Macaca fascicularis: one gene and its partners. The protein of the gene in region 2 interacts with the protein of the main gene of each other region in a pairwise test. Links are inferred from orthologs where the notes say so. Each region holds a gene or a part of one and is shown on either strand. Other genes may lie near its edges.

Region 1 (3,500 bases), about 63 Mb from region 2:
CTTCTTGAACCAATTCTGAACAGCAAAAGCAGTGAATTTCCTACTCAGCCCCAGTGAAAACATTCATACCAAAAACAGAAGCTTCCAGTTTTCTTGGGGTTAAGACAAACAGGGGTATCTGTACAGCCTATTTCTAATCATCCTGGGCTTTAAATCACACCATTACAGACCACACTAACAGAAAGGATGTTTCTCTTGGTAAGATTAACAGCAACCAATTAATGTGACAAGAGTTGTCCTGCACATTGCAGGCTACCAGGAAACCGCAAGAGCCAGCCCCTCACCTTTGGAATTTGCAGTCTGAAGCAATGTGGCCAGCCCCTCCACACTTGGTACACACTGTGGTGTTGGTAATGCTGCGGGTCTCTGAGCTCTGCCAGGGTCTTAAGATCCTATTAAGGGAAAAAGAGGTCAATGCAAGGGGACAATCTGTACTTCCACAGGTTCTTCAGGTCTCCACACACACTCGTTTAAACTGATCACATACCTGTTGTCATCTTCACGAAGGGTCCCATTCAAGCGAGCCAACTCCCGAAGCTGCATCTTCCGTAGATCATTCTGGTCCTCTGGGGTCTCGATACCCTGCTTCAGGATGTTTCTTATCTAGTGAATATGCAATGAACAGTTAAGTGCTTAGGGCTTCCGCCTAGGTTTCTGCCAAGACGCTTCCTTTCTGGGCTCACCACTCACCTGTTCCACTGCCTTTTTGACGTTCTCCATTGTGTTGGCGGTGACCAGGGCATGAAGTGGTTCATCTTCTCCCGGCAACATCTGGCCATCTTTGCGCCCAACCTTCCCTTCTTTCACAGACCCTTTCCCCCGGATCATAATCTTGGCATTGCACTCCTTCTCTATGTTCTTCAGGGTGTTTCCTCTATAGAGAGGCAGAAATGACTGAATTTATACCTGACAAGTTCATACTCAAGAGGGAACAGAGGCTGGACCAATTTGACACTGGTGGGAAACCAAAAGCACAGAGAATTGGATTTTCCCACCAAAAGCTCCATGAACTCTACATTACAGTCAGCCACAGTAAACCTGAGGATTTGACTTCTCCGCACTAGCACGGAAATTAAAACACCTTCTCACAGAAACACATTAATTCAGTCAAAATGAATGTCCTACCAAAAAGGGGAAAAGTAAGCCAACAGTTCCCAATTAGGCACAAAACAGACACATCTCAGAGGCTCTAAAGGAATTCTATATCCTATAGACTAGCAGTTACTCACCTGGGCCCGATTAGCAGCCCCACAAAGTTGATTTCTGGGTACTCATCTTGGGGAATCATGACTTTATCGCTCACACGTGTTGCTGGAGGTCTAAGAAAGAAAAGCCTGTCACTGCACACATTTCTGGAGAATGACGCAGTCAGTAGCTTTTCTAAAACTAACTACTGGTACACCAAGTGCTAATTATGGGTGATTTGGGGTAAGAGGTGAGTAGTGCCAATATTGTCCCATCCCAGCAGGTCACCCATGATCTGCATGTGTCCTCATCCCAGATGACCTAGCCCCTCTGCTTACTTGTAATCTGCAGGTGGCTTGAAATCTGGATTGAGTGCAACCATCTCTGTGATGAGGTTGTGCCGCTCCTCTTCCAGCTTTTTGCGGGTGCGGAACTCTCGGGTGTTAAGCCGCTTCCCCTCGCTATTGTAGATGGGCTCAGGGGAAGGGGACCTGTGGGAAACAGACTCCCGTTTACTATTCTGCCCCGACTTCTCTCATTCCCACACGGACTATAACAAGTCTTTCCCAGCCCCTCTGCCTCTCAGACCCTAATACAACACTCCGGAGGAACCGACCATAACGTGTGCTACTCAAGATCGTGTGGAATGGGGAGATGGAAGCTGGCTGAACGTTAAGGGTCTGGGGTGTGTGTGAGAAAGGAAAAAAATAAAAGGTTTTGCATCTAGAAGTGATGAGAGAAAAAATGTCTATCCTTTGGGGAAAATCTCTGGACTATAAGTGGCAAGGACAGTATCATCCCCTGGAGTCTTCTTGCCAAATATGGATTTTCTTCCATTTGAAAAAAAATTACAATATTCCAACTTTATGAACCACAGAAACCCCAAGTTTAGGCAAAATGTTCACTCTTGGAGAGCTAATGCCCTACGAGGAAAAGCTTCTGTACCCCTAACACATAGTGCGCATAAGCTCCTTAACCCAATGCAACTGGGACTGAAGGCTACTGCAGCTACTGGCCCCCACAATGGAGAGAGATGGTTCAAGGCTTCGTCTTTGCTTTTCCTTCAATGGCCTGGCTGGCTGTGTCCAAGGCCCAGGAGACAACCTGTTTTCTGGCTGTTCGAGGTTGGGGAGTCTGAGTAGAGAAAAACGTTAAAGTGCTAAAGCAGCTTCTGCGAGAGGCTGCAAATGCAGATTTGGTCAAATACTTGTCTAGGGTCTGAACCTGCAAACAGCAAGGGGAAAACCTATGATTCTCCACCAGAGTTTACAAGTCCAGAAAGCAGATTTTCTCTCTCTCATTTTTTTAAGGAGTAAAATGCTGTTGCTACAAGTAAAAAAATATAATGATAAAATGGTCAGTTTACCACAGCTGGATTTTGCGGTAATAAAAAAGAGAGGTTACACTCCTAGAATTTTGAGTTAAGATTACAAAAAGGACCATAGCTTGATATTCTGAATGAAAATTTAGTAGCAGCTGCAAGAAGGGAAGAGACCATGTGGATCAGGTTATTAAAAAAACATCCTGAAAGTAGTCAAGACTCCTATACCCTTGGTTTAGTTGAGAGAACCTTGCCTAGTTGGAGAGCAAGGACTGAACTCGGCTGCTCCCACTGTCTTCAGCCTAAAGGGAACCATGTCACACCACGTTACACACACGATGGAATAAAAGGTCAGGTTTGTTCATGGCTAATGACGGCTAAATGACACCTCCGTTTCTAGCATTTGTATAAACTGTTAGCACAATCCAGTAAAAGTGAACAAAAGCAAACATACCCCAGCTCATTAGACTACCATCTTATACATTTAAGTCTACAAGAAAAGTTTTAAACATGTTTTACTGTGCAAGTTAAGCAGCATCGAAATAACAATAAAGTGGCTTAATTGATATAACACCTTTTTAATAAATTATCTTAATTAAGAAAACCCATGCATTTCCCTCCAACCTGGGCTCAAAAGCAAAACCAATCAGGCATTAGGGCCTCTTTCAAAACTGAATACAAGGGAGGAAAAACCCTGCTCTGGTTTTATTTCTAACATGCTTGACATTTCTAATTCCCACCCCATAGCTGTCTAGAATTAAGCACTCTTGGCTAGTTACAAAAACAAGTCTTACCAGCACCCAATTACCCAATTGGCCATGTGAAGGCCTCACAACAGTTTAACCTCTTCCCAAATTGCAGAAGTGAAAGGCAAAAACTAGTATTCTAGAGGTTAGACTGGCCCGACTTCTTCACCTCCAATAGGCATCGGCTAGATCAACTAAATTCTAATCCCAGTTATCCAGGAAGCAAAGAAGGTTTGTTAAAAATTCAA
Region 2 (4,053 bases):
AGAAATGTACCCTTAACTATCTCAAGCTCATCAAATCTATTTAAATTTCAAATTCCAGGTATAGTTTTTAAATGCACCAGGAGGAGAGGGGAAAGGAAAAGGCAGAAATATTATATAGAAAGATATCTATTACATTCCAGTTTATCTTCTCCCACCTTTAGTTTGGAAGTATGCTCCTTTTCCCCCAACTTACTTTTTATGATATACAAATAACAGAAGACACCCTCCCCTCCTTAATTTTACCTTAACTAAATCCCCTTTCAACTTTACCCTTTGGGCTGACTTGACTTCCAAATTATACTAATATAAATAAAACAAACAAAAAGATCAACCGAACAGATTAAAATGGCCCCTAAGAATGAGATGCTCTCTTCTGTGTCCCCTGCAAAGTCCCCTCTAACAGGCTTACTGCCTCTCCCCCAATCACAGCCACCAAGGCTGTCCATTTAAGTATTCCAACCCTTAACCCTCATGTGTCTCTTGGAGGCCATCCCAATTCTTCATCTCCAAAATAATCCAACCCATTTCCACCCCCTTCTCCCGCACAGCTCACTGTCCCTCTCCATCCTCTCTGCCCTATCCATACCAACAACTCCAGGTCTCCCATTCCTTAAATTTCCCCTGTGCCACCTCACCATCAGCAACCACCTCCCCAGGCCTACCAGCTCATCTCCGAAAGTCCTTCTCCAAAACTCCCTCTGCCACCTTGGCCAAGGGACATTTTCTTCAAGATACCATCCCCCAACTTTGCTCACCCCTGCCGCTATCCTTTCAATGAATGCAGCCCAGTGATGTTTTATGTGCCCTCTGCCTTGACCCTGGAACCAAGGAGCCACCATGCCCTTTCCAGTGATTGTAAGATCACCCTAAATCCAACCCACTGTGCCCCACACTCTATTTCCATCCCTGTCCTCCCATTTCGGGCCTGACTTCCAATGTGACCCCTTCCTGCCAGCTCACCATCACACTCCCCTCACTGAATGTTTCACCTCCACCAACTCCTATTCCAACCTCCATCAGCCCACCCCAGGAAACCCCCAAATTGCACTCCTCTGCTCTATCCTAACCCATGCTATTCCGTAAGTCTCCACAAATTCCACCAGCCCCAGATGACAAACACCCACTTCAAGCTCAGGTCTCAACCCATGCCAAGCCCCTCACCCCCAACTCCTGCCACCTCCATCATCCTGCCCCAGGTCTACCCCAAATTCCACCCTCCTGAATTAACACTCCGCAGGGTCCTGTCCAGCCCTGTACATGCCACTCACTCTCCGTTGAAATCATTCCCCTACCCCTCACCCCAGCTCAGATCCCAAGCTGTCAACTGCTCCAGGCCAAACCCAAATCACCACCCTCATTCAGTCCCCTCCCCCATTAAAAGCCATCCCACCCTAGTCTCATCTTCCACCTCGCCCCAAGACCATCCCGAATTCCAACCTGGCGCCCCCACCCCACTCTCCTGTCCCAGGTTGTGTTATTCTCCATCAAAAGTCCTCCTCCCTGGTCGCCCGCCCCCCAACCTGCTTGGGTCCCACCCTCACCCCACCCCCAGCCAGCGCCTGGACAAGTCTCCCCCACCAGCCCGCCGTTCCATCGCGACCTGAACCCCCTCCCCACCACCTGCACGGGGGCTCCGCAGCCCCCACTCTCATTCTCGCCAGCGCCACCGGCCCAGGCTCAGGACCAGCGGACCGGGTGGCGGGGGGAGTCTCCTCACCGGTGAGCAGCTGCAGGCGAAAACGGCGGCGGCGGCGGCTGAGGCGGCGATGCCCTTGTCTTCTCCGGAGGCTACGGCGGCGACGCTCTCGCTCCCTCGCCCGTGTCCAGTAGGGTGGCGGATGGCGCGCGGGGACCGGAGCCTCCTCCTCCTCAGCCACTCGGCTCTGAATCCTCTGCAGTAGCCGCCGAGGAGCCCGACGGGTTGGGGGAGGGGACGCTCGGCTGCGGGCGAGGGAGGAGGAGGCGGAGGGAGGAGGCGGGGGACCGCTGAGAAGGGCAGGGAAGGAGGAGCCGGCGCGGCGCCGCGACACGTCCCACAGCCTCAGAGCGCCGGGACCACAACTCCCGGCATGCCCTGCTTTAGCCCGCGCGCGGCCTGAGCCTCCCGCCGCCAGCCCGGTGCAGAGGGGCCGCGCCCTCTCCGGTCACGCACAATGGAATAAAGCCAACCATCCGCTGGCAGACTCTGTAGACTCAAAGACCACCTGTGAGGAAAGTCAGGTCGCCCGAGGCCCCATCCCCAAGGGGCCATACTCGCAACGTCTCCATCCTCTTTGCATAGACACACACTCTCTCTCTTTCTTTCTCTCTCTCTCTCGCTCGCGCTTTCTCTCGCTCTTGCTCTCTGTCTCTCTCTCTCTTTCTCTCTCTCTCTCTCGACTACACCTCCCAGCATGCCTCTCAGCTTCCTGTTCTCCTTCCGGACCCCTCTCAGACCCGGCACTACAGTTCCCTGGGAGTGTGGTCCCTGCGAAATGCTGGGAGATGCAGTTCTCGGTTCTTCCTCCATGTTAAGAAAAAGAAGTGAAAGAGAGGCAAAGGGAAGGAATATGCCAGCCCACCGAGGATGGGCCTTGATGGGCTAGATCACCTGTAATTCTGTTCTTCCCTCGCCATCTCTGTTTCAGTTGTCTTTCACCAGAACTAATGCCGGAGCTTCCTCGCTGGTCTCCCTGCAAATTTGAGGACGATTCGGCAACTTGAATCCAAACGACAAAGCGCATACTTCTTGACCCAGCTCCATTACTTTCAAGAATTTACCTTAAAAAATAATCGAACAATTTCGAAAAGATGAATGCACAAAGTTGTTATATGACGTAGTTAATTATGGGGGGAGTAAATGTTCATCAATAGGGTGCTGCTTAAATAAGGCGTGACATATACATACAATGCAATACTAAGGAGCCATTTAAAATGATGATATAAATCTATTGATATGAAAAGCTATTCACAATTTATTCTTCAGGGAAAAAAACTGATTACAGAACGTCATGTCTACACGGGTACATTTATGTGAAGTTTGACACAATATTCTATAAGCATGGAGAGATTTCAGGAAAGAGGTTCGCCAAAATATTAGCAATGATTATCTTGGGGGAAAGGGTGTCAGATTGCACGTAGGGTTTTTTTGTTTTTTGAGACGGAGTCTGAATCTATAGCCAGGCTGGAGTACAGTGAGGCGATTGCGGCTCACTGCAACCTCCGCCTCTCGGTTTCAAGCGATTCTCCTGCCTCAGTCTCCTGAGTAGCTGGGATTACAGGCACGCGCCACGCCCAGCTAATTTTTGTATTTTTAGTAGAGATGGGGTTTCACTGTGTTGGCCAGGATGGTCTCGATCTCCTGACCTCCTGACCCGCCCGCCTCAGCCTCCCAAAGTGCTGGGATTACAAGCAGGAGCCACTGTGCCCGGCTGTAATTTTTATTTTCATATTGTTTGAATTGTTTAAAAGGAGCACCTAACAACTGTTTTTTGTTTTCTTTTGTTTTGTTTTTTGTTTTGTTTTAATTGTAAGAGACCATCGTGTCACTATATTGCCCAGGCTGGTCTCAAACTCCTGGCCTCAAGAGACCCTCCTGCCTCAGCTCTCAAAAGTGCTGGGATTACAGGCATGAGCCACACTACACCTAGACAATTTTTTAAGCTGTACTACTTCCACAAAACATAATTTCCAAATCTAACCTTTCTTTGCTGCCTAGATGCTTTCCATGACTTCCCATTGCCTCATTCACGCTTCAGCACTGTGCCTGCCTGGTTTTAATAGTTACACTATTAAAAAAATAATAGTAGTCACTTCCAATTCATAAAGTTAGAAGGGAGAATTTTCTCAATTTTCAATGCGCCTTCTCAAAATTTTTCCTTTTCTGGTCTTTCCACACCCATTTTCTCCTTTTCTCTTATTCTTCAAACTCAAACCAAAGTCCTACCTTCCCTAGAACATTTTTAGACACACTGATTTTCCTTGTATCTGAATTCTTTTTTTTTTTTTTTTTTTTTGAGACAGAGTCTTGCTCTGTCGGCCAGGCTGGAGTACAGTGGCGCAATCTCAGCTAAC
Region 3 (3,985 bases), on a different chromosome or scaffold from region 2:
TGAGTGGAGAAGTGAATGGAGCAGGAGAGATGCAGAGTAGGCATTGTTGTCAGACAAAGGTGATGAATTGGATGTGCTGGGTGAGGGCTTCCAGCTTCCTTGTCCCTCTTTGTTTAGAGTCCTAGTCCTTCTGCCAGTATTTTGCTCTGTGACCTTAAGCCAGTCCCTTCACCTGTCTCAGCTTCAGGGTCTACATCCATATAAGGGCTTCTCAGACAATTTATAATATAGGAGGATTAACTTCTTGGGTTTATTTGCAAAAATATTTCCCGAGGGCCTTTGCACAAGCTGTTCCCTCTACCTCCTCATTGTTAGGGTCTCTGTTGAAATACGACCACGTTAGGAAGCCTTTCCTGACCATCCTCCGCTGCCCTTTTCTTGGTTTATCTCTAGCCTATCAGAATTGTAGTTTCCTGTTTATTTACTTGCTATCTATGACTAGAATGGAAGCCCCTGAAAGCAGGGATTTGCTTCTTCAGAGATGTCTATCCATCCCCAGCTCCTAGCACAGTGTCTGGTACATAGTAGGTGCTTAATGTTTGTTTGGTTGAATGAATGAACGAACGAATGAGTGAATGAATGAATTGGGCAGATGGTTAGCAAATGTTTTCCCTGCCACCTTATTGCCCCCAAATCATTTAGCTGCACCCACTTCAAGCCTTCTCTGGCCAGGGAGCATCAATCCTAGAAGCCAGATCATCTGACCTGGAGGGTGACGATTCAAATTCAAATTTGAACCTGGAGGTTAAAATTCTGTCTGTCTCTGCCACTTAACAGCTGAGTTTAGATAAATCGTTTAATCTCTCTCGGCTGCATTTTTCACATTAATTCCGACCTTGTGGAGATGTGGTGAGGATCTAGATAGGAACTAGACAGGAAAAAGCCCCAAGTGAATTCGGCGCTTTTGTTTGAAGCTATCTTTTCTTTTTCTTTCACAATCGCGCCTTCCCAAGCCTCGTCACCCCTGCCCTTCTCACTAAGCACGTCACAACCTCCCTCGCACCCGATGTGGGGGGACTTGCAGGTTGCTGAGCCCTCGAGCACGCAGATATTTCCTTTCTCTAAAAGGGAAGGAAAAGAGCCTCCCCGGCCTCGGGTCGCGCAGGTCTCCGGAGCGGGCGTCAGTGGCGGCGTCTGTGCGTGCGCGCGCGCCTGCGCATCAGGGCCAGGGGACGGGTGGGGGGTGAAGAAGGGGCCGGCCTTCAAGCAACAGCGACGCAAGATGGCAGCCACCACGGGCTCGGGTGAGCGGGGGCGCCGGGCCCGGCCGGCCGAAGGGGCATGGGCTTGGGCCGGGGGCTGGGGACTCTCAAAGGCTCCTGCAGGGGGGCCAGGGTCCCCGCGCCGCCTCTGTCCGGTGGGCTCCGCTGCAGCCACGGGCAGGCGGTGGCCGGAAGCACGGGCGGGGGGCTGAGGGGCCTGTGGGCGGCGCGGCGAGCCTTAAGGCTCCCCCGGGAGGCGTGAGGGCCCCGCTGCGCTACCTGGGGGAGCCGGAGTGGGCGAGGAGCGAGCTCCAAGGCACTTCTGAGGAGACCGGGGCTGGCGACTCTTTAAGGGGCGACCAAGGGGTTCCTTAGAGGAGGAGGCGCCCCACAGCGGATGGAAGTCCCGTACTGGGTGCCAGGGGTGCGGCTGAGGGGGGGGCCTTGGGATGTCTGGAGGGGACATCAGAGGAGCCCCTCAAGCTGGATGGGAGGAAGAAACGGGATCCTGAGGGGGTGACTCGAGAGGATCCCCTATTGGTTGAGGGGACGGCTCCGGCGTTAGTTTTAGAGATAGGGTTAGCCGAGGAAATAGCTGTGTTGACTAGAAAGGAGGAGCCTTGGAGCGGCTGCTTTTGGGGAGAATTAAGGAATCTCCGCATGATAAGTGAGAGCGGGGGGGAAAGGATTCAGATGCCACAGGGACTTGATTGCAGTGATAGTGAAATGACCCCATCATTACCAGTCTCCTATTCGAGGATACAGATGGATTGCTCCAATTTCGCTTTCAGGGGACAGGTCCGTTGGGGCAATTGGTGGAAGCCTCTGATATTGAATGAGGAAGAACAGGTGAATTGGGAATCCCGAGGATGTCTCTTTGGGAGTGGGGATTCAACTGAGGGAAGCCCCTGAAATGAGTTAGTGGAGAAGGTCGGGTTCCAGAGATGTTTCTTGTAAACGAGATAAGTCTCCTCTTTTTGAATTGAGTGAGGGAAGCATATCCTAGAAGTGTCTCTTCTGTGGAGACGCTCACTCTCATCCACTCCTTTGATAATTGGGACAGATATGTGGGTTCAGCTCAGAAGTTCCCCACTGGCTGATGGGAGTAGGGAGGTGAATAGATGAAATGGACACTCTTGGGTGAGGCTGCACCCTCGGGTGCCTGGCAGTGAAGTTGGCCAAGGAGGTGCTCTCAGATGGGGTGAAGATGGGTTACCTCTGATGGAGGAAGGAAACAGAACCACAGTGTTCCCCACTGTGGGGCTGCAGGGACACGAACCTGAGTACGGCAGTCATTGGGGTATTTAAGGCCACAGCAGGGGCAGTGTTGGGAAGGAATTGGTGATCCATGAGAAATAGGGTGAGGGAAATTCTTTACAGTGTTGCTCCTCTGCGGTCTCAAGGAGCCATACTTGTCTGATGGTTGGGGTGAGAATAAAAGAAATTGAATATGGGGGATCTGACTGAAGTGACCCACCAGAAGCTGCTGCCTTTTGCATTTAAAACAGTGGGGTCTTCTTGCAGCATAGCGGAGACCATGAATCCTTTTACTCGATTTTGGTTTCAGCTGGAACAGTGCTGAGTCAATTCATTTACCAAGACGCTGCCCCAGGCACTCCCAGAAGAGAGATTCTGAGTCAGGCCAGACTGCTGGGGGAAACTTCTCACCAGAATAACACTCGTACCAGGTCGTAATGAAGCAAGGGGCCCAGTGTGCTGGCGGTAGCCAGCAATAAGGTGCTGTTGCAGCTCAGCCCTGCTTGCAGTCACTCGGTTGGCTACCTACAATCTGAGTTAACAGGTGCCCGATTCTAACTTCTGGAGACCCTGACAGTTAAAAAGTGAGTGCTTCGTAAATGGCTATGGCGATCAGATAAAATGTCAGCTGCTCTCGAGTGGAATACAAGAGCATTTGGCATGGTTTAAATAACATAGAACAGGCTTTGAGGTGCCCTAAAATGGACTTCCCAAAATTCTTTTTGTCTGTTTATTCAAAAGATATTTACTGAGGGCCTATTATGTCCCATTGTGGATAGCAAACAAAACAGACATAGTCTGTGTCCTTTGGGAGCTTCCATTCGAGTCAAGGAGAGAAGGCTGTTAAGGGGTAAATAAATAAGACAATTTCAGATAGCAGTAAGTGCTATGGAGGAAATTGTGTGATATGATAAAGAGTGTCTGGAGAGGTGGTCAGGGAAGGCTTCTCTGAGAAAGTGACATTTCAACTGAGGGGAATAATGGAAAGCGCCAACCCTACAGTGTCACAGGTAGGAGAGAGGGTGGACTGTGAGTGCAAAGGCCTTGTGGTGGGACTGAGCTTGGCATGTTGAAAGAACAGGATAAAAGGCCTTAGTGTGCAAGCAAGGCTTGTTAAAGAGATGAGTTGGAGAGACATGGCTTTGGATTTGACTTGGTGTGAGGGGAAGCCATCAAACAAGTATCTGGTATGAAGTAGGCAGTCAGTAAATATTTGTTGAATGAATAAATAAGAGTCTTAAAAAGAGGAGTATGGCAAGATCTGACCTAAGTCCCTAGGCAGTGAAAAGAGTGCAGGGTGCTAAGAGTCCCTAGGCAGTGAAAAGAGTGCAGGGTGCTAAGCAGACCTTACTTGGGTTAAACTAAAATGAGTGTACAGGCCTCCCTGCTTTCTAACCCTGAGAAGTCTTCCAGGTGTGGTCAGGGCCCTGAGGCCTTCCTTAGTCAGGTTTAGAGTGAGGCTCTTTATTAATCTGTGCTTCTGGTTGCCAGGAAACAGCTGTGAAGCCTTTGAGTTCCTGTAAGGG
Region 4 (4,236 bases), on a different chromosome or scaffold from region 2:
ATAGCACAAGTGAGGCCCTGCACAGAACATCCTGATCCCACCGAATTTTCCAGACTCAATTTCCCTGCCTCCCTCAATCTCCTTGCATCTTCAGAGGCTGTTTACCTTTCCCCATTCTTGACCATGCTTCAAAGCCTGATAGCCCACTTTCCCCCCGCACCCACCAGAAGGAATGAACCCTTCCCAAATCCTTCTTGAACACTCATATACATCCTTCAACTCAGCTCAAAAGACCTCCCCCAGCTCAAAAGACCTCCTCTGCAGAACCTTCCAACACCCCCACTCCCTCAGAGCATATTGACCCCTCACTGTGCTCCCAAAGTCCTTAGGCCTCTTAGGCCATGACCTGTAGCTCAGACACTGCTTGTGTCCAGCTGTCTTGGCCAGCAGGCAGTGAGGTCCTAGAGCGGGCGGGCACCTTGTCTTTCTCATTAGTGTCACAGTGCCCAGCACAGGCCTGACAAAGGCGCCCACTGGGGACCTGTTTGACAAATAACAGAACAAAGCACAATAGGCCCCTGTGGTTTTCCTGCTTATGTCTGATTCATTCATTCGCCAAACATGAAATGCACCTTGAGTGCATGAGACTCCTCGCTATTTGCACTCCCTGCCAGAGGCCTGGTCCTTGTCTCACCCCTACCTTCCCAAGGGGCTTTGTGTCTTCCACGGGGGGCCCTTCCTCAAGCTTAGCCCAGTGATGTAGAAACAGGAAAGCAAAGAAGATGCTGTATTTTCCAAGGATATTCCTTCTGTCACACACACACACTCACCACCATCCACACAATGCAGGTTCAACATAAAAACCCACCATGCAGTATAGGGCCCAGTATGGTCCCCACATGCAGTAGGTGCTCAATAAATGCCACGTGAAGGGAAGGGAACAGACAGACCCTGCACTGCCTCCACCCCTGTGATTCCCAGACAGACATCCTATTTTAGTGGGTTAATCACTTCATCCATTGCCAAGGCACTCAAGCCCCCGGTGAGGTGTGAGGGCTTTGGACCCCACCTGCCCTCTAACTTCCAGTCTCCTGAGTTAGGGCACATAGGGGGCAGAGTGAGCGGCCTCACTGCATGGCACAAAGAGCGGCTACCGCCTCTGCTGTGCTCTCAGCTGCCGAGTGGTGGCCAGAGGGCATGCCAGCCTCCAGCTCCCGGGTGGCTAAGCCCATCATTACCCCAGCTCCATCCCTCCCTGGTGGGTGATGCAGAAACACCTGGGCTGCCTTCCAGGAGCAGCTCAACCAGGTAAACCCTTGGGCACCAAGTGGAAGCAGGAAGCTGGTGCTTCCAGATGCCCCAGAGGCCCCCAGCTACGCCCCAAGCTGGCTTGGCAAGGACAGTCCCAGCTCGAGTGCCCTGGCTGCCTATGCCACACCCAGATCATGCCAGGCCATGACCAGGCTTTGACCCATGCCCCAGCCTGGCAGCATCCTGCTGCGGTGACCCATTTTCCTGCCCAGTCATAGGAGAGAGGAGGCTAAGCTTGAAGAACCAGGCATCTGTGCACACCCATTTCCAGGACTCTGTTGTCACAGGAAAAGCTCCAGCTAATCATCTCACATGGTTCTCACAGCAGCCCATTACAGATGTGCAAAACGGTGCTGAGGGGGAGAGTGGACCAACCAAAGCCTCTTTGCTTTCCAGGAGGTGGAAGTGAGACTTGAACCTGGGGCTGTGTGGCCCCGACTCAAGCCACTCAGCCCTCACTCCACAGGCTCCCCCCTGCTCAGGGCTGAAGGGTCTTAGGCAGCCATCCCACCCAGTCCCCTGCAGGATGCCTGACCCCATGGCAACCTGGAAGGTGAGCTGATGTAACACAAAGAGTACTGAACTGAGAGTCCAGAGGCCTGGGTTCAAGTCCCAGGACCACCACTATCAGTACCAGCCCTTCCCTGTCTGACCTCAGTTTCCCCACCTGCCCAAGCCCAGGGTTAGCCTGGCTCAGAGGGTCTCTGGGCCCCGTTCTGTGCAGACAGGACTCTCCATCAGGGATTCCTGAGTATTTTCTTTTCCCCGACCCCTAACTCATGTGCCTCACAACTTAAGGCAACCTCTCCACGTGGGTCCCGACTCCAAAAATGGAGACGGACTAGTCGCCCGCAGGGACAGACGATCTGGTCCCCTGTGCAACTCCTAGATCCCCTCGTGGGGTTGGGGCAGGGGCCAGGAGTGGGTTGGTCTTTGACGGCTGAGCCCTCGGGTGGGAGGGGCCGTGGACTGCTGACTGGGGGGCTACTTAACAAAGAGGAGGCGACCCATAGCGCTGCAGCCTCCCTGTCCCTGCTTCCGTCGAGGGCGCCCACCCAGCGCCGTCGAGGCGGCGCCCAGGGCCAACTGGGGCGGACACGCTGGGGGCGGGGACTCGGGGCCGAGCTGGACCTCCTCAGCTGCACGTCCACGGGGGACAGCGGGGCGCGACCTGGCCCCCAGTATCCGTCCGGACTCCGTATTTCAGGGGTTCGGAACGCGGCGGGGGTGGTCTGGGGGCTGAGCCTCGCGTCCAACCCCCGTCCCGCAGGTGCACCCGCTCCGACAGCGACCCCGCCCACCGCGCCCCCTGCCCGCTCCCCGTTCGCGATCCCCCACGATCACTGACCATAGTGACCGGAGCCGCCAGGCCAGGTCCCGCCCCAGCGAGGAGCGATCCGGTGCGGGAGTGCCGCGGGAGGCGCGGGCGGGCTCCGCCGCTGGTTCGGTGGCGGGGACCTCGAGGGCGTGGGGGCGGCGGAGAATACACCCGACCACTCCGCAAACCAAAGGTTAGACCTCCACTGTGTCCCAGGAAGACACACGCCCCGCAATTGACGTCTCAGGCGGGCAATCAGGAGCCGGGATGCAGGACGTCATAGAAAGTGGGTGGGACTTCACGCGCCTTCAGCCTATGCTTTAGGGACCATTTGACAGGATGCCTCCCCTTTTTAAAGACACAGAAAGCTTTTAACTAGCAGAGGAGTTAGCTCAACCCAGAAAGACAGGTCCTCGTTTGCAAAGGCTGAAGGGCTTTTGCGCAAACCTAAAATTGGAGTCTTCTGAAGGATTAGCTGGCCCTCATTAATTCATAAACAAGGTCACATAAGTATAGTTTGCACAAGATCAGAGGATAGGCGCTTAGGGAACACGTGTCCAATAACATTAAGTATGGCTTCTACATAATATTTTACCCTCTTCTAACTCATGAATCAGTAGGTTGCCACGCACCCAGTTAATGTTTGTTGAATGAATGAATGTCCAGGATCGTTGACTCTGTGGCTCTGGAATTGTAGGGATATCCGTGAACCATGTCTAGATGACTCATCTTGCCCACAAGCTCATTATTAATGGACATCAAAATAGGAATATTTATCATTCAAAGATTCATTCACCAGCCCTTGAGTCCTGGAGGAGCTGCTTTGGGTGTAGTAGGGAGAGTTTGTAGGGAAGGGGGGCTCAGTGCATTGCATGCATCCACTTCACAATATTAATATTTCCAGGAGTGTGTATTGAGCAATTCCCCTTCCTGCTGCTGCCCCGCCCCTCCCCCCCGCCACAACTCTTACTCTGTAAGTCCCAGGCACGAGGCTAGGCTCTGGGCATACAGACATCTGAGTCTTCCAAGCATGTATCATGACCTGGGTAGGGAGTGTGGGGTCAATGGAGGCTCAAGGAGCAGTAACAATAGCATCTAACTTTTTACAGTTATTTATACAGTTATGCAGAACACCTACTATGTATCAGGTGCTATCCTGAACCCTCCACATATACAGAAGTATCTTGCTTAATTTCCTCACAACTGGTTTATGGGGGTAGGTCCTGTTATTATTATCCCTATTTCACAGATGAGGAAACATTACAGAGAGTTTAAGTTCCTTGCGTAAGTCACATAGCACTCAAGTGGGATTCAGTCCCAGGCAGTGTGACTCCAGAGCTGGTTTCCAATTCACTCTGCACGTGACTACAGGGGCTGTGTTACCTGCCCCCACCCTGACCCCCGTTTGTTTTCAGGGGGTTTCTCCTCTTTGTTTTTTACAGCCAAGAAAGCCAGGGAGGTGACAGGAGCAGCCCAGTGCTGCTGAGCTAAGAAGTGGCCTGGCTGGGCTGGATCCCCAGACTTCTGACTCCCCAGCCAGTGCTCATTCCAAGGCATGTTATCTTCCCTCTGCGGAGGAATGACTGAGCCAGGTTCCATGGTATCTGGGTGAGGGACATGGGTGAAGAGTCTCTTCAGCCAAGGTTTTGATGAGCCCTCAAGTTGGG
Region 5 (2,173 bases), about 49 Mb from region 2:
GTCTATACTAAAAATACAAAAAATCAGCTGGGCGTGGTGGCGTGTGCCTGTAATCCCAGCTACTTGGGAGGCTGAATCAGGAGAATCGCTTGAATCCAGGAGGCAGAGTTTACAGTGAGCTGAGATTGTGTCACTGCTCTCCAGCCTGGGTGACAGAGTGAGACTCTGTCTCAAAAAAAAAAAAAAAAAAAAAAAAAGGAAAAGAAAAAGGCAGCTCAAACATTTCTGAAATTATACTTGGACCCAATGGAAAAGATGCTCCAATTTAAAAAAATTTGTTTCACCCATTTTTTTTTTCTCCTTATGAGTCTGTAACATTCAAAGCTGAAGCTGTGCTCTCCCTCACTTCAGTTGTCACAGCAATTTTAAAACTTATTTTTGTCTGTGTCCAGAGAGCTGCATTTACAAACAAGACAAAATTCTCTGTCTTCCAGCACTGACAAATGAGGACAGATGCATAAATAAACTTTTCAAAAATGTGAAAAACAATTGCGAATGAGTTTGAACCAGTTTCTCTGGTGGCAGAGAAAGGAAGTATGTAATTCGCCAGAAGGGAAGTGTGTGGGAGGCAGCTGACCAGGGAACCTCTCCCACTGAAAGGAAGACTCCAGATGTGTGGGTCAGCCTCATGGGTTTTCTGTCTTGCTGTCTTGTTCCTGGCTTTGCCTCTTAGCCTCCTCATTTTAAATTGCTGCATGCCTCAGCCTACCTTCAAGGACCTGTGTTTGAGTTAAGCTTTCAGATGCTGTCTTTTGGACTGACCTCTATTGATCCAACCCCAAGTTCCCTCAGGGAAATTCAAAGAAGGTCCCTCAGGGAAATCCATACAATTTGCTTATAATTCCTAGCTGCTTCCTACATTTTAGCTCTTAGAAGCTAGAACTAGCTCTAATACATTGTTTTTCTAACACAAGGCTTAATAAAGTGCCCTGCACAGAGTATCACTCAATACGTCTTGGTTGAGAGAATCAATAAATGAATATTCCCAGCTCAGCATAAACACATGCTTCAAAGAACTTAGTAATCAGCCAGTCACTGTGCTGACCTCAAACTACTAGCCATCACGGACCCCACAGAGCGAGAATGAATTACCTTTCGGACCATTTGTACGAAATCCTTGGAGTTCTGAGGTGACAGGCCCTGAAGTTGGCAGGTACAAGCTTCAAGGGAAGATGCGTGGGCCACAATCAGGATGTTATTTCCTGGGGGAAAATGGCAAGGAATGGGAAGACTGTTTCTATAAAGACATGGAAACTGCAAATACTGGAAGCTAACTAAATGTTCTGGAGGGGAGCAAACACACTCAAGAAAAAGACAATTTGCCTAAGCAATATTTTGTAAGTGCTTTGTTATTGATAAGGCAGCCTAATTTTTTTAAAGAAAACATTTTATCTTAAAATAGTTACAGATGTATGGAGCCAGGTGTGGTGGCTCATCCCTGTAATTCCAGTACTTTGAGAGAACGAGGAGGGAGGATCACTTGAGCTCAGGAGTTTGAGACCAGCCTGAGAAACATAGTGAAACCCTGTCCCTACAGAAAATTAAAAGAACATTAGCTGGGTGTGGTGGCCTGTGACTGTAGTTCCAGCTACTTGGGAGGCCGATGTGGGAGGATCACTTGAGCCCAGGAGATTGAGGCTATAGTGAGTCATGATTGCATCACTGCACTCCAGCCTGAGTGACAGGAGCAAGACCCTGTCTCGGTAATAATAATAATAATGATTATTGACTTATGGGAGGGCTACATATAATACATATACATACATACCAGCAAGGTCCCATGAACCCTTCCTCCCAGCTCCCTCCAATGGTAACATCTTACATAACTATGGTACAGTATCAGACCCAGGAAATGGACGCTGGTGCAATACACACAGCGTATTCAGATTTTAGCAGGTGTTCAAACAGTAGTTTGTGTATATGTGACGATATAGTTCATGCAATTCTATCATATGTATAGCTTTGTGTAACACCATGACAGTCAAGATACAGAACTGCTGTAGGTCCACAGGGCTCTCTGGGTTACTCCTTCTAATATAGTTTTAAATGCGCCCACTGTAGAACTGTGAGTACTTGAGACTTTCTGGTTGATAGAACATGTTGTGTACCTTTATGGCAGTGACTGGCTAATCAATGAAAACTGGAAGGTGGGCATCATCCATAATACTGTTGC
Region 6 (4,087 bases), on a different chromosome or scaffold from region 2:
AGGAATTTGAGGCTATGGTGAACCATGATCACTCCACTGCACTCCAGCCTGGGCGGCAGCAGCAGACACCAACTCAAAAAAATAATAAATAAAATACCCCTCATGGAAATCTCCTAAAATCCTTCCGCTCCCGAGTCTTGGCATGGCCCACATAACCCTCCCTGCTCAGCCCTCTGCCTGCTTTTCCAGCTTCCTCTACCACATACTAAGCTACTTACAGTAGCCCAGCTGTGTCCCGGTAGCTTCATGACTTTGCAAACGCTGACTCCTCTCCCAGACGACTGTGCCCCACTTTCTAAGTCTACTCCTCCTTCACAACCCCCCTCAACTACCACCTTCCAGGAGCCTTCCTGACCTCCCTCTAGCCCTCCCCTTTCTGGATGTGGGTAGGAGGGCCTTGTGCTTTCCCCAGCTCAGTATATGTCACACTGACAATACTTTGTCACTGACTCTGGTTTGTCTTTTCCACTAAACAATGCGCTCCCAAAAGACAGAGATCTTGTCTGGCACCCAGTAAAGGTTTATGCAACAAAAGAAATGAAAACTGCCAGTTCAAATGCAGAAATCGTGACTTGTGTCTTCCATCCCATAAAGCATGTCTTAAAGTGGAAAGCATCTTCTAAGACTAGTTAGTGAAACAGGAGAAGCAGCTGGCAAGACGCCACTGCAATTTATTTGAGACAGGTGGCAATCAACAGTCAACTTCCAGGGCGCACGTTTATCCTGCAGACCTCAAATTCCACCCTCCCCAATCCTCACCTTCTCTGCACCAGATAGAGAAGGCAGCAAGGTCAAGTCCCCATGGCTCTCACCTTTTCTCTCTGGAGAGCTGGCACAAACCGTCCCTTCTGGATGAAGACACCAGCTCCTTAGGAAGAATGACTTGTTTGAGTTCCCATCTTGATACAAACCACAAACAACAAAAACCGGGCAAATCTGAAAGCTTGCTGACTCAGCGACACAAATTCCAAGGCACCTTTGCCAACTAGGAAGAAGATGATCAGGTTTTAAATTAAACAGCAGTTAGTAAAAAACAAAGGTACAGATGTTGGATCCGTGTGCTGTGCCTGGGGACTGAAAATCACCAGATTTATTTTCCAATAGCCTGGGCGGAGCAGAAAGTACAATAGTCTTCGTCCACCCACTTAACAATCAAGGAGATAGTTGAAAAAAACAACAAGCAAACAAAACCCTGAGCCCTTTTTAAAAGTTTTTTATTATTATTATTTTTTGGAGACGGAGTCTTGCTCTGTCACCCAAACTGGAGTACAGTGGCATGATCTTGGCTCACTGCAGCCTTCGCCTCCCAGTTTCAAGCAACTCTCCTGCCTCAGCCTCCTGAGTAGCTGAGATTATAGGCATGCGTCACCACACCTGGCTATGAGCCCTTTTCTTTAAAAAAAGAAAAAAAAAAGTTTGTTTTTTTGTTTGTTTGTTTTTTGAGACAGGGTCTCCCTCTGTCGCCCATGCTGGAGTGCAGTGGTGTGACCATAGCTCACTGCAGCCTCCAGCTCCTGGGCTCAAGCGATCCTCCTGCCTCAGCCTCCCAAGTAGCTGGGACTACAGGCACCCACCAACACGCCCATCTGATTTTTTACAGAGACAGTGATCTCAGGAATCTTCTTGTTTCCCAGGCTTGTCTCAAATTCCTGGACTCAAGTGATCCTTCCACCTCGGCCGCCCAAAGGGCTGGGATTACAGGCATGAGCCACCGTGCCTGGCCTGAGCTTTTTCCACAGAAAGCCCTAAAAGGACTTCATAAGCCAGTCTGGCAGCTAAGCATCCAGGAAATCAACACACCAGAGACGGTAAATATTTAAGGTCACAGAGCAACCGAATCAGAGGGCTTGCTATCCAGATGGCTAAAGTAAGCCCGGATGGTGGCCACCAGAAAGTCTACCTTCTAGAGCGCTAGAGGAGCTAGGAGGGCATGCAGAAATATTCTGAGTTTCTCAAGGGTCCAGACGTCTGTACACATGCTATTTATTTCCATCGCTGTTGGCGCTTAGAGAAGTGGAGCCAGCTTGGAGGAGGAGGGCAGCTGGCTGAGACAGTCGCGATGAAAGCGCAGCTCCAGAAAAGGGAACCGAGTTCTAAATCTTTTTCGGCACCCCTTAAGGACCCCAAAAAGTGACCCAGGGCCCCAGGAACTCCCGGGAAGGCTCCCCACAGGAGAGCAGGGAAGCAGAGTTAGGAAGCAAACTCCTCCAAAGTACAACCCATGGCCCAGTGAGTCCCTTCACCTGGGGGTAGACCCCAGCAGGACCCACCCCTCGTCAGAGAGCCAGTGGCAATCTCGTCACCGCCTCCTCCGGGTACTTTGGGAAGGGGTGCGCTCCTCCCGAGCGACCCGGACTCCCGGGAGCGGCGCCCCTCCGCCTGCGAGCCCCTCAGCCTTCACCCGAACGTCCTCTCTCGCACCTGGCACCCTGTCCCGTCCAAAGCTCCCGGCGCCTCCCAAGTCCCCCAACTCCCGCCCTCAGGACCTTGATCCCGGAGACCGATAGCCCCGACACCCCAGATCTCCCGGGACCCCCGGGTGTCGCCGTCGCCCCCCCTCACACCCACGCCCGCCCCTTTCCGGTCCCAGCTAGGCTCCAGCTCCCCGCGCCACCCCACGCCCCCGGGACCGCAGCCCTAGCGACGCGCAGGTGGCCTGCCCGCCCTCTCACCAAGGCTGAGGAGGACGAGGGGACGGGACGGAGGGCACCACCGCGCTCAGGCTGCAGCTCCGGAACGGCCTGGGCAGGGCTCTGGCTGTGGGTCCGACTCTCAGGAGAAGGCAGCCAGAGTGAAACTCAGCGTCGCAGCTTCCGAGCGCGCCGCTGCGCATGCCCGGGGCGTGCGGCCTTCTGGGAAATGTAGTCCCGGTGGGGCCCAGGGGGCGGGCGGGAGGCGGGGCTCGGGGGGAGGGGCTCAACCCAAGGCGCACCTGCTCCAGTGTCTGTTTTCTTCCTTCACCTGTTCACTCATTGACTTATTCCTCCAGCAATTACTGACTTAATTTTAACTAGTTTTTACTAGTACATACATGGTGCCAGGTCATGTGCTACTGTGTTTCCCTTTTTTGTTTTTAAAATTAATTTTATTTTTCTTTTTGTACAAATGGGGGTCTTGCAGCACTGCCATGTTGCTCAGGTCAATCTCAAACTCCTGGCCTCAAGCGATCCTCTTGCTTCAGCCTCCCAAAGCACTGGGGTTGCAAGTGTGAGCCATCGAGCACAGCCTTTTTAAATTTAAATTTTTGTCTTTTTCTTTTCTTTTTTGTTCTTTCTTTCCTTTTTTATTTATTTGTAATATTTATTTATTTATTTTGCTACTGTGTAGTGGGAGTGTGGGAGTGAATAAGTGAATCAGAAATGGTTTCTCAGCTGGGCGCAGAGGCCGATGCCTGTAATCCCTGCACTTTGGCAGGCGAAGGCCGGCGGATCACCTGAGGTCAGGTTCTAGACCAGCCTGGCTATTCTGGCAAAATCCCGTCTCTACTAAAAATCCCAAAAAAAATTAGCCAGGCGTGGTGGCTTGTGCCTGTAATCCCAGCTACTCTGCAGGCTGAGGCAAGACAATCACTTGAACCCTGGAGGTGTAGGTTGCAGTGAGCTAAGATCGCGCCATGGCACTCTAGCCTGGGCGACAGAGAAGGAATCCCTCTCAGGAGGAGGAGGAGAAGAAGAAGAAGGAGAAGGAGGAGGAGGAGGAGGAGGAGGAGGAGGAGGGGGAGGAGGAGGGGGAAGGAGGAGGAGGAGGAGGAGGAGGAAGAGGAGGAGGAGGAGGAGGAGGAAAATAGAAAAAGAAAAGAAAAGGTTTCTCGCCGGGCGCGGTGGCTCGCGCCTGTAATACCAGCACTTTAGGAGGCCGCTGGGGCCAGATCACGAGGTCAAGAGATTGAGACCATCCTGGCCAACATGGTGAAACCCCATCTCTACTAAAAATACAAACATTAACTCGGTGTAATGGCGCGCGCCTGTAATCCCAGCTACTCGGGAGACTGAGACAGGAGAATCACTTGAACCCCGGAGGAGGAGGTTGCAGTGAGCCGAGATCGCGCCACTGAACTCCAGCCTGGGCGACAGAGCAGGAATCCGTC
Region 7 (3,500 bases), on a different chromosome or scaffold from region 2:
GGTTCCGCAGTCTCACCCACCTTTCCTGCCCCCACACCGGCCTGTGTTGTGTGTGGTTTCTTCTACCCGTAGTGCTGTCCCTGCCCCTTCCAGACCCTTTCCTTCCCTCCCCCACCGCGGTTGGTGGCAGCCCCTGCAGGAAGTCTTGATGCCCCCCACCTAGGAGTGCCCTGGACCCCTGCTGATCCTGAGGGGGGCAGCTACCTGTGTCCCACCCTGTGTGGTTGTGATTTGAGGCTGTCCCCTCCAGCTGGGGGCTCCAGGGCCTCTTGTGGGGTGCCCACGGGGTCCTGACATCCTTGCTGTCGACTTGGCTGACCCTTGCTGCACAGATGCTCTGCAGTCAAGGGCCCTGGAAGCTGGAGGGTCCTTCAGGGTGGGGGCTGCTGGAGGCATGGGGCCTCCATGTTTTCATCTGTGGGCTGAGATGGCCCTGCCGCTTACTGGCGAAGTCCTTAGCACAGGGATGTGTGAGTGTTTGGTTTGTGGTGGCTGAGGCCATGCATGGAACGACAGCTTCACGTACAGAACGGGCGTAGCATCCCAGATCTGGAAATTTGAAGTGCTCCAAAATCTAGAACTTTTTGAGCGCCAACATGAGGCTCAAAGGAAACGCTCATCAGAGCATTTCAGGTTCTCGGATTTGGGATGCCAAACCGGTGGGTCTAAAACAGATACCTCCAAATCTGGAAAAATCTGAAATGTGACACGTTTCACGTAAGGGCCACTCAGCCTATATGAAAACTAGATGCGTAGCGGTGGCGGTTCATCCCGAGGGCCAGCGGCAGCCCCGCGTCGGCAGCGCCCGCTCACGCTCTCTCCGCAGATGCTGGACGAGAACCACCACCTGATCCAGTGCATCCTGGAGTACCAGAGCAAGGGCAAGACAGCCGAGTGCACGCAGTGAGTGCCGCCCGCCGTCCGCGGAACACTCTGGGGGTCATGCAGACTCTAAGCATGGAGGCCAGATATGTCCCGAGAGCCCCCCAGTGCGCAGGTCAGATATGTCCCGAGAGCCCCCCAATGCGGAGGCCAGATATGTCCCGAGAGCCCCCCAGTGCGGAGGTCAGATACGTCCCGAGAGTCCCCAGCATGGAGGCCAGATAAGTCCCGAGAGTCCCCAGCACGGAGGCCAGATACGTCCCGAGAGCCCCCCAGCATGGAGGCCAGATACATCCCGAGAGTCCCCAGCATGGAGGCCAGATAAGTCCCGAGAGCCCCCTAGCATGGAGGCCAGATAAGTCCCGAGAGCCCCCCAGCATGGAGGCCAGATACGTCCCGAGAGTCCCCAGCATGGAGGCCAGATAAGTCCCGAGAGCCCCCCAGCATGGAGGCCAGATACGTCCCGAGAGTCCCCAGCATGGAGGCCAGATAAGTCCCGAGAGTCCCCAGCACGGAGGTCAGTACGTCCCGAGAGTCCCCAGCATGGAGGCCAGATACGTCCCGAGAGTCCCCAGCATGGAGGCCAGATACGTCCCGAGAGCCCCCCAGTGCGGAGGTCAGATACATCCCGAGAGTCCCCCAGCATGGAGGCCAGATACGTCCCGAGAGTCCCCCAGTGCGGAGGCCAGATAAGTCCCGAGAGCCCCCCAGCATGGAGGCCAGATAAGTCCCCAGAGCCCCCCAGCACGGAGGCCAGATAAGTCCCTAGAGTCCCCCAGCATGGAGGCCAGATAAGTCCCGAGAGTCCCCAGCATGGAGGCCAGATAAGTCCCCAGAGCCCCCCAGCATGGAGGCCAGATAAGTCCCCAGAGCCTCCCAGTGCGGAGGCCAGATAAGTCCCCAGAGCCCCCAGCACGGAGGCCGGATACGTCCCGAGAGCCCCCCAGCACGGAGGCCAGATACGTCCCGAGAGTCTCCCAGTGCGGAGGCCAGATACGTCCCGAGAGTCCCCCAGTGCGGAGGCCAGATACGTCCCGAGAGTCCCCCAGCACGGAGGTCAGATACGTCCCCAGAGCCCCCCGGTGCGGAGGTCAGATACGTCCCCAGAGCCCCCCGGTGCGGAGGTCAGATACGTCCCGAGAGTCCCCAGCATGGAGGTCAGTACGTCCCGAGAGTCCCCAGCATGGAGGTCAGATAAGTCCCCAGAGCCCCCCGGTGCGGAGGTCAGATACGTCCCCAGAGCCCCCCGGTGCGGAGGTCAGATACGTCCCCAGAGCCCCCCGGTGCGGAGGTCAGATACGTCCCGAGAGGCCCCAGCACAGCTGCGAAGCGTTGCTGCCAGAACTGGGGTAGTTCCGAGGGAGGCGGGAGGAAAGAGCAGTGTGGGGAGGCCCGGGCCAGCCTCTGTGGGCAGCTCTACGGCCGGGAGACAGCACCTCCTCCAGGTGGGACCTCCTGTGACCCTAGGGCCTGACACAGAGGAGGGGTGTATGGCCAGTCTGCCACCCTCCAAGCGGCTGTCCGAGTGGCCATCAGGCTGACCTGGAGGCGGGAAGTAGGTGAATGGCCTCAGACACCCCTGGGTGTGAGTGGGGTGAGGGGACTGGGGCCCCACTGGTGTGAGGTGTACGAGGGGCCTTCCCTGGCAGAACTGTGCTTCCCCATTTCTTTCCAGGGCTTTCTCAGGGTCGCTGACTCTATGGAGTCTGCCCACTGCCTGGTTCAGCTGGACAAGGGCTCTGTCCCTCTGTCACCTTCAGGCCCCTGCCTCCTCGTGGCCTCCCCCATTTCCATTCTCTGAGCAGACCAGTGCCAGCTCCCCGTTAGCTGCTGCCTTAGAGTCTTTCCAGAGGTTTTGGTGTGGGATGGGAGCCTGCTCAGGGTTTGGGGTAGAGGCTGCCCTGCCGTCCCCACCTAGACCCCAGCACCCTGCCACCTGCCTGTGTCCAGCTGGGCAACCAGCTGGCCTGTCCCTGGGTGTCGTCTGGAGTCCGTGTCCTCATGAGGTTTGGTTGGTTGTCAGACTGTGGTGTTCACACTTTACTTCTGCCTTGGATCCACCTGGGGACTCCGTGGTCCCGTCCTCCTGCCTCACGCATGCCCCCTCTCCTGCAGGTACCAGCAAATCCTGCACCGGAACCTGGTGTACCTGGCCACGATCGCAGACTCCAACCAGAACATGCAGTCCCTGCTTCCTGCCGTGAGTACCCGCTGGGGTGGCCCCCTTTACCCAGCAAGGACCCCGACACTGCCTAAAATCGGGAGTTGTGGGCGTATCACCTCAGGTAACAGAGATGACTCAGAGAAACCAAAAATACCACTAGAGTCACCAGAAATGGGAGTGTGGGCGGTGGTGACCAACCCTTCCTGACAGACTGGGGGTAACGACGGCGTCTGAGGTGGCCGGGTCGGAACTGTGGTTCAGCCTCTGTATGTATTGAAGGGAGGGAAGTCCCGGAAGAACCACTGTAGGAACGGCCGCAGCTCTCGGGTCGGGGGTGGGGAGAGATGGGATGGGGGCCCCTGCGTCTCCCTGGAACCTCTCTGGGTGCTTTGAGCAGTTGTGAACCATGCACATGCGCTGCTGTGGGTGAAAACAGAACTTAAAAGAAAACGTG

Evidence for each region.
Region 1: the proteins of FAM168A (region 2) and SF1 interact in binary tests that used the Homo sapiens proteins (3 or more experiments, as listed by UniProt). The two-hybrid records come from large-scale screens. The link is inferred for Macaca fascicularis from reciprocal best matches to the Homo sapiens genes FAM168A and SF1.
Region 3: the proteins of FAM168A (region 2) and UBE2V1 interact in binary tests that used the Homo sapiens proteins (3 or more experiments, as listed by UniProt). The two-hybrid records come from large-scale screens. The link is inferred for Macaca fascicularis from reciprocal best matches to the Homo sapiens genes FAM168A and UBE2V1.
Region 4: the proteins of FAM168A (region 2) and OTUB2 interact in binary tests that used the Homo sapiens proteins (3 or more experiments, as listed by UniProt). The two-hybrid records come from large-scale screens. The link is inferred for Macaca fascicularis from reciprocal best matches to the Homo sapiens genes FAM168A and OTUB2.
Region 5: the proteins of FAM168A (region 2) and UBASH3B interact in binary tests that used the Homo sapiens proteins (3 or more experiments, as listed by UniProt). The two-hybrid records come from large-scale screens. The link is inferred for Macaca fascicularis from reciprocal best matches to the Homo sapiens genes FAM168A and UBASH3B.
Region 6: the proteins of FAM168A (region 2) and DTX2 interact in binary tests that used the Homo sapiens proteins (3 or more experiments, as listed by UniProt). The two-hybrid records come from large-scale screens. The link is inferred for Macaca fascicularis from reciprocal best matches to the Homo sapiens genes FAM168A and DTX2.
Region 7: the proteins of FAM168A (region 2) and SS18L1 interact in binary tests that used the Homo sapiens proteins (3 or more experiments, as listed by UniProt). The two-hybrid records come from large-scale screens. The link is inferred for Macaca fascicularis from reciprocal best matches to the Homo sapiens genes FAM168A and SS18L1.

What each region holds. Positions count from the first base shown.
Region 1 is NC_088388.1:9,621,260-9,624,759, reverse strand, and holds part of SF1 (splicing factor 1), read right to left. Parts: intron 1,677-3,500; coding exon 1,524-1,676; intron 1,320-1,523; coding exon 1,230-1,319; intron 875-1,229; coding exon 691-874; intron 604-690; coding exon 488-603; intron 393-487; coding exon 285-392; intron 1-284. UniProt on the Homo sapiens protein: Necessary for the ATP-dependent first step of spliceosome assembly. Binds to the intron branch point sequence (BPS) 5'-UACUAAC-3' of the pre-mRNA. May act as transcription repressor.
Region 2 is NC_088388.1:72,428,677-72,432,729, forward strand, and holds the start of FAM168A (protein FAM168A), read right to left. Parts: upstream 2,801-4,053; 5' UTR 2,591-2,800; intron 1,919-2,590; exon of another isoform or gene 1,718-1,918; intron 1-1,717.
Region 3 is NC_088384.1:106,203,791-106,207,775, reverse strand, and holds the start of UBE2V1 (ubiquitin-conjugating enzyme E2 variant 1), read left to right. Parts: upstream 1-1,185; 5' UTR 1,186-1,222; coding exon 1,223-1,244; intron 1,245-2,769; exon of another isoform or gene 2,770-3,043; intron 3,044-3,985. UniProt on the Homo sapiens protein: Has no ubiquitin ligase activity on its own. The UBE2V1-UBE2N heterodimer catalyzes the synthesis of non-canonical poly-ubiquitin chains that are linked through Lys-63.
Region 4 is NC_088381.1:162,040,940-162,045,175, reverse strand, and holds the start of OTUB2 (ubiquitin thioesterase OTUB2), read right to left. Parts: upstream 2,801-4,236; 5' UTR 2,603-2,800; coding exon 2,600-2,602; intron 1-2,599. UniProt on the Homo sapiens protein: Hydrolase that can remove conjugated ubiquitin from proteins in vitro and may therefore play an important regulatory role at the level of protein turnover by preventing degradation.
Region 5 is NC_088388.1:121,604,525-121,606,697, reverse strand, and holds part of UBASH3B (ubiquitin-associated and SH3 domain-containing protein B), read right to left. Parts: intron 1,203-2,173; coding exon 1,093-1,202; intron 1-1,092. UniProt on the Homo sapiens protein: Interferes with CBL-mediated down-regulation and degradation of receptor-type tyrosine kinases. Promotes accumulation of activated target receptors, such as T-cell receptors and EGFR, on the cell surface.
Region 6 is NC_088377.1:51,269,024-51,273,110, forward strand, and holds the start of DTX2 (probable E3 ubiquitin-protein ligase DTX2), read right to left. Parts: upstream 2,801-4,087; 5' UTR 2,673-2,800; intron 986-2,672; exon of another isoform or gene 813-985; intron 1-812. UniProt on the Homo sapiens protein: Regulator of Notch signaling, a signaling pathway involved in cell-cell communications that regulates a broad spectrum of cell-fate determinations.
Region 7 is NC_088384.1:118,203,956-118,207,455, forward strand, and holds part of SS18L1 (calcium-responsive transactivator), read left to right. Parts: intron 1-826; coding exon 827-903; intron 904-2,997; coding exon 2,998-3,082; intron 3,083-3,328; exon of another isoform or gene 3,329-3,500. UniProt on the Homo sapiens protein: Transcriptional activator which is required for calcium-dependent dendritic growth and branching in cortical neurons. Recruits CREB-binding protein (CREBBP) to nuclear bodies.